2 linked regions of the Arabidopsis thaliana genome follow. The protein of the gene in region 2 interacts with the protein of the main gene of each other region in a pairwise test. Each region holds a gene or a part of one and is shown on either strand. Other genes may lie near its edges.

Evidence for each region. The genes of interacting proteins can lie anywhere in the genome.
Region 1: the proteins of MBD4 (region 2) and IAA2 interact in binary tests that used the Arabidopsis thaliana proteins (3 or more experiments, as listed by UniProt).

The regions. Positions count from the first base shown.
Region 1 is NC_003074.8:8,179,989-8,183,704, forward strand, and holds IAA2 (indole-3-acetic acid inducible 2), read right to left. Parts: upstream 2,108-3,716; 5' UTR 1,959-2,107; coding exon 1,525-1,958; intron 1,433-1,524; coding exon 1,081-1,432; 3' UTR 658-1,080; downstream 1-657. UniProt on the Arabidopsis thaliana protein: Aux/IAA proteins are short-lived transcriptional factors that function as repressors of early auxin response genes at low auxin concentrations.
Region 2 is NC_003074.8:23,293,604-23,297,242, reverse strand, and holds MBD4 (methyl-CPG-binding domain 4), read right to left. Parts: upstream 1,959-3,639; 5' UTR 1,850-1,958; coding exon 1,802-1,849; intron 1,331-1,801; coding exon 818-1,330; 3' UTR 617-817; downstream 1-616. Other genes in the region: AT3G63040 (uncharacterized protein), read left to right, coding at 34-597; AT3G63020 (hypothetical protein (DUF3049)), read right to left, coding at 2,204-2,818. UniProt on the Arabidopsis thaliana protein: Transcriptional regulator that binds CpG, CpNpN and CpNpG (N is A, T, or C) islands in promoters regardless the DNA methylation status. Plays probably a role in gene silencing.

The DNA of each region.
Region 1 (3,716 bases), about 15 Mb from region 2:
GGAAATAAAAAGCTGTAAACTCCTGAAGTTTTATTTATTTATAGAAAACAACTCTTTATATATTTGATTTCCAAATAATCCCAAAACCTTGATCATATGCACATAAGAACCCTATTAGAAGAGAAATGATTTTTTATTACTTGGTTCACATAATGAAAAAAACATACTTGAAAACTAGTCATTGGCGTTCGGTATTTTGGTTCAGTTCCGGTTCGAGAACTTCCCATGAGCCCTTTTGTAGTCTAAAAATCTATAATCTTAAATTGTGTTTTATTAATATTATTATGTTTTTATGTAATATTAATAACCTTTACCCTAGAAAAACTAATATTATTTTCTCAGTTTTATTATATTAAATTGTGTTTTTCAATTTCATATGTTATCAGACTTATATTATTATGTAATATTTTTTTACAATTGGTTGAATTGTTTAGGTTAGATATTAATTTCTGTTTTTAATATAACAAAATTATTACATAATAATTCTTGCAGTTTAGCTAAAACATCTAATAAGCTGAAGAGACAGAGTCATTTACAATTCATCAAAAAGAAAAATTGTTTTTGAAATCTTTTGATCGACAAGGCCTATCTATAGAATTGTGGATGTGTTTTGGGAAGGCATTATAGAAAATTTGTCTCATGTGGTGGTAAATGTTTTGCTGAATAAGTAAATAATAACCTTGGTTAAACTTTAAACAAAAAAAAAAGTTAATAAATAACCTTGGCTAAACAAATGTGTATAAGTTTCTGAAATTTAAAATATTATGTTCGTGATCAAGAACAGAAAACTGATGATCTTATAGGACATAACTACTTAATACATTATACATCTATAGATTGTGTATGTGTCCGTATTATACATAAAATCTCATGTATCTTTACATCAAACTTCAAATCTAAATACAAAAACAAAAAGAACATCACTAGAGATGGATCTCTCGTCGGACAAAACCCCGAAGTTTCGTCTTTCACGGTCAACTTTAGTCAAACTCCGATCCGAATCAAACCAAAAAGGGTTTTTCATTCATCGATCATAGTCATCATCTCCTTTTTAGACAAAAGATTCTCAGCTTCTCTGGATCATAAGGAAGAGTCTAGAGCAGGAGCGTCGGATCCCTTCATGATTCTGAGTCTCTTACAAGAAGAAGAGAACATGTCCCATGGAACATCACCAACCAACATCCAGTCACCATCTTTATCTTCGTATGTTGGTACAAATCCAGATCCTTTGTATCCTTCTCTCTCACAATATTCACCAATCATGACTTTGAACATATTCTCTAACGCTTTGAGAAGCTCGGGGTAGTTTTTGTATGTCTTGAGATCGATCTTGCGAAGGTAAGGAGCTCCGTCCATACTCACTTTCACGTAGCTCACACTGTTGTTGTTCTTACGGGAAGATCTCACTGGTGGCCAACCAACGATTTGAGTTCTGTAAATTTGAGGAAAGAAAGATTAGTAAAACTATTCAAGAGCCAATAATTTGAAAGAAGCCAATTTGAAACTCAGATCTCTTCTACTTACTTGGTAGGAGGTGTAGATTCTTCTTCATCACGAGTTTCCTCAAATAGACGCTTGTTGTTACTTTTAACGCAAGAAACCTCTTGTTCTTCTTTGATCTTCTCTGTTCTTCCGGGTAATCCAAGACATAGCTCTGTGTCCTTAAGGTTAAGCTCGTTGACTTTCTCGTACGCCATTGCTTTTGGATCAATATCAATCTTTGTGTTTCCTTCTTGTGTGTTTTCTTGGGTACTTTGTTCTTCTTGTCTTGTTCTTCTTCTTCTTGTTCTTGTTCTTGGTGAGCTGGTTGATGAGTTTTGGAGAAAAGGGGAGAGAGATATATATAAAGGAGCATCGAAGTTAGGGTTAAAGGAAGAGAGAGAAGTGTTGTCGGAAGCATGAAAGGCAAGAAAGAGGCAAGGGGACAAAAGTGGGACACGAAGCTTGAGGCCGCCCATGTGGACACGACTCTTTTGTTTAATTATTCCACGCTCCTCTTTTCCCTCCGCCAACTTTGTTTACGTTAACATCTTAGCCGTCCATCTCTATTGCCTCTTCTTTTTCTTTCAAAGGATGTATAATAATTATAACGAAAGAATATAAAAATGAATGAAATGATGAGAATTCTATCGGCCGACCCGGAATAAAAGCAAACAGAGAAAATATAAATAAAGTAAAGACTAAAGAGGTGTATTATAATAACATTTATTTACTGTTTCTTAAAGGTTTCTTCTTCTCTTTTTGAAAGTGTATAGTGCAGGTTATAAAGAAAATATCAAGTGCTAATGATTGTTAATCCATTTGTTGCATAATAGATATTCTTAATATATATTTAAATATAATGTGTTGTCTTAAAATTTGATGTGAAAGTTGATTATTATTTTTAGTTTACTTCTATTGATTTATTAATTTTTAACTTAAAAGATTAATAGATGTTTTGAAAGTATGATGTAAAAATTTCGATTCAGAAGAAAAAACGTATGGTGTAAAAAATGGTTAAAAGGACACTTATGTCAAATAAAGTACTATTTTATTGAATCCTGATTCCAAAATGAAGATTATTTAGAGTTTCCAAGTACTCTTATGTGTTACGAACTATTGAATGTGCATAAGTTGAATTTTATCATTTTTGCTCGTAGATGTAATTTGATTAATAAAGAAATATTAGTTTTATGGTTAAATCTCAGATAATATCGAATATTAAACGTTACATATTTGTCTTGCGAAGACATATTTATGCGTGGCATTTTGTATATTGTGAGTTGGAAAATGTTATAACATTTTGTGTGTAGATTTTGATTTTATAATAGGAGACGAAGACCCATGTGGATAAGGGTCAAATGTGTTGGTAATTGATAGAGGAATGGTAAAGCCATGTGCTTTCTTATGTGTATGTCTCTTTTAATTATTCATTTCCCTTCAAAATGGGTTGTGGGGGAGAGAGGTTCCACGTGCTATGTATTCATTGAATCATAAAACTTAAAAGAATGAACCAAAAAGTGGTAATTAATTTCTCCCCATAGATTACGCTTAACTATGTGCATTTAGCTTCTAATCCGCATGCGATTTGATGTTAACGTTAGGCTTTATTCAATGGATTTACCAATTTTGGATATTATTTGTTTTCTCTTCTTTTAAGATAAAGATTCCTTCTATGTTCTTGCCCCTTCCATCACCAAAAGATTAGATAAGTAAAAGCGATGCAAGATACGTTGCCTCTCTTCTTATAAGTAAATAATTTAGAGGTTCTGATTGTCAGAGTTTTATGTATTATTTCCAGTTAATAACGAACTCATGCAATGTATTTTCTCACAAACTGAGAGATGCACGAATGAATACCATTTGTCTGTTAAATATTGCACGAATGAATACTAAAGGTTAACCATTTACAGATTTCTAGAATCACTTAACATGGTGGGAAACAAACTTCTTGAGAATAGTTTTTTCCTGTTTGTGTGTTCATGCATGTTTTAGTCTTAGTGAAAATGTATTATAGAAACATAACTACTAGATCTATGTGATGCTTTATGCTTATATAGATGATTGCTAAAGTTATTTGTTGGTTAAACTAAACCTTTTTACTGAAAACCATTTAAGAAAGTACAAGAGAATTCAGTTACTGTTTATTATGGAGTTAATTCCATGAATATATATTGAACATTAAGTTTTGCCTAAAAAACAATATTGAACTTAAGCCAAATACATAAATCATTTTT
Region 2 (3,639 bases):
AATTATCATCATAACCTATTACATCTATAAAACATGACTAGAGGCATGATACCAACAAAAGCAAAGGTAGTAGTCATCTCACTGATTTGGGCTATTCTGGTGTTGGAAAGTGCAACAGTGTCAAGTGCAGTAGAAGATTTGGTGGTGGAACAGTGCAAGCACAACTGTAAACATGATATCCACAACAAGAAGAAAGAGTGTGAAGATAAGTGCAATGAACTGTTGATGATGGAGATAGAGAAAGAGACAAGTGGACGACAAGAAGAAGAACACAATCCCTTCTGTGAGGCATTTTGCAACCCCTTTGAAGGACTCTTTCAACATTGCATGGCCGTTTGCCCTCGCACCAAGTCCAAACCAGAGATGATGGTCATAGGAGGAGAAGGTGTTGCTAATGAGGGTTTGCAGACAAAATGCAACAGAAAATGCCTGTCTTACACCGAACCGGAGGCCTATAAAAAATGCATATCCGGATGCTTCATGTCCAACGAGGAAGTCTGTGAGACATCGTGCAGTATTCTTCAAGAGGAACCGCTCACTATAAGGTGCATGAGGATTTGCCATGAGAGAATTCCCGGAGTTGTAGCCTCTACTTAATGTTTTACGAGGGGACTTGTAAGGAATAAGTGTGTTTCTTTGGTGTAAGAATCCAAATTAAAAGAATATTTAACATTTGAGTTCCGGTTAAAGAAGAGACAAAAGATCATATTTTTTTGCTTAGAGATGTTAATATCATAACAGTTTTAGAGAACATCAAATCTATAAAGACTCAAAACGCATTGCTTTAGGGAGCAGAAAGAAGGTAGAAGAGAACATATTAGTTATGGCTCTGCTTGACACTGCTCTTCTCTGAAGTAGTGGTAGTAGTGCTTGGAAAAGGAGAGCCAAGCTTCGGATCAGGGGGAACAGTATCTTCCATGACCTTGGGGACAGTGAAATTGAAGTCTCCAAGTGGTGCGTTCCTGAATTCCGGATTGGCTTCAACGAAGGCAGCGATTTCATTGCGACTCCTGAGCTTCTTCCCGGTAGGAGTAAAGTAGTAGGTATCCATCTTAGAGTAATCTTTTCTGAGAACTAAGCTTCTCTTGAAACCTTTAGGCGTTTTGGGGAGACCAGGCTTGTCAATGACCCAAGTCCGAGAAGAATCGTAGTCAATATCAGCAGGCTCTTCACAAGACATGCCCTGTTTCTTCTGACAGTTAAAAGGATCCTCGAGCATTTTACTTCTGATATCTTCATATTCCTCCTGGCTATCAATCACCCTCCACTTGTGACAGTTATCGCACTGTGCAGCATAGGTATCAATCAACCTCCCAGGAGCAACATCTTTCTGCCATTAAGTCTCAGTGAAACAACCCCACACAAGACTTGTGAGCGTAGAAGAAATATATAATGTAAGGCAAGAATAAGGAGCGACACTACTCCAGCAAGCGTTAAAGAAAAGAACCAAGGCTTTCTTAGAGCAATAACTGAAAGCAACGACACATCACGAGACTGACTCAAAGTTTGCAAGACCAAAGATTTCAAAGTTAACTACCAACAATTTACTTCCAAGCACCAAAAAATCGTGAACCCCAAAACTGATAACCTAGAATTCTATGCCTTGTATAACTTCCTCCATCAATAGTAACTACTAATACGGGATCTGAGATCTCCAAAGACAGTAAGAACACGAAAAACGCATGCACTTTGACCGGAATTATAAGAAGGTTCGCATCTAACACAATAAAGAGAAGAAAAACGCAAAGAACGGAACCTAGAAAATGGAAAGCGAAATATATGTAAGTCATTGTGGGACTACCTTGGCTTTTGGTTTCGCTGGTTTTCCGATCTCCTCCTCTTCCTTCATCTCACTTACTTCCCCAGATTCTTTTTTAGTAAACTTTTTCTCCAAATCTTTGTGTCCCCCAAAAGTAAAACTCTCTCAAATAAGTCTTCCTGCGAACAGTGTGATAACCGCACAGCCTGTGCTTTAATGTATCACTGTGACGGACAAATCATAAATTAACACGTCGGCTTGAGCGAATTATTTGGGCTTCAGGCCCAGGTTTGTTTTGCAACAAAATATTATTATGGGCCTAATATTCATAAGTAAAGCCCATAATTCCCTTTTCTTATCTTGTTTCTAACGGATCATCGGACTACAATGTCGTTTTTTCCCCCCGGAAAATTAGCTGAAAATATCAAAATTCTAAGAGGAAGATCAGTGATTCTGTTTATCTTCATTATCATCTTCTACTACGTCGTTTTGTTGACTGATTCTCACTGTTCCGATTCTTAGTCCTTCTCTCCCACGAACACTAACGATCTCCGGTGAATCTACTGCCACGCTGGCAATCTCTAACCGTCCTTCGCTTCTCACTCTCCTGTGATGAAATCTCGGCCGTCCGTTACAATCCAGTGTCGTCAAAAATGGTGGCAGATCTCGCTTCCTCGTCACGCTTCTTCCTCTCCGCGGCGACGGCGCCTTTGATCTCGACTCCGTCAGCAGCGGCGGTCCATACGGTCCCCACGGCGATATCTTCCCTCCTAGATAGAAACTGTAACTGTTATTTTTCGAAGAACACGAGAAATATTCGTCAAGAATAACTCCACACACACCTCTATGTTCCCTGCACTCGTCGTCGGGATTCTCGTGGTCTGATTTTATCTCTAGAGATCTGCTCACGGATAAGCTTTGAAGAGGTTCGCCGCCGGAATCAACAGGAGTGCTCCAGCGCCGTCGATGGGAATGCGTAGGCGTGTCTTCCTCTGCCATTGACGACGTGCGGTGTTCTTCATCTATATCTCCGGTGAGAATCGTAGAGGATGACGTCATGATTAACATAACCGCTCGTCCTTCCCTGTTCTCTACTCTCTACGATCGCAACTCTGCATCATTTTTTGGGCCTTAAACGAGATTTAATGATTTATAGTATTTGGTGGGGCCTCTGCGAGAGGTTTTGCCAGCGTGGCAAACAGATCAGGATTTACTCATTTAACGGGCTTTTGTAAACCATGACACCTTGTAAGTAAATTGGTCCGCATGGTCAAATTAAACCTTGTCTTGGAAAAATCTTTTCACCTGTAAAATATTAATCTCACCGTCCTTTTTCTGGTGGCAGTAATTGTGAACAAAATCTTAAATCATATTAACTTTAATTTTTGGGAAATACGCATGCAGCACATCGAATGATTTTTAAAAATATTACATGAATTTTTCTACGAAAATTTTGAAACTAGTTTCTAAACATTACTACAGTATTAACTAATGGCTGCAATTGAGAGGGTGAAAACATTGAATTGGGTCATTCCCCATCAGTTTTAAAAAACTATAAAGTTAATTGGGTCGTAATTGCATAAAACGTTATTTCTTTCCCGGAAATAATACTCAGTTCATTAATTTGATGGGCTTATAGAACGATATTCTAAAGCCCATTATACGGGCCACAAGAATCTTTTGAGACACTCGACAAATGGCAATCGCTAAAAGCAAACCCAAAATGTTTTAACGATATGTGATAACTCCTGAGCCATGCATGCTAATTTTGCTATGTCATTTTGTAAGAAAACACGTTACTACAAGTTGTCTTTGTTTAGACCGTTAAACGGCATGCAGTCTATTATTCTGGACTAACTCCATGTGAATGAAAACATACA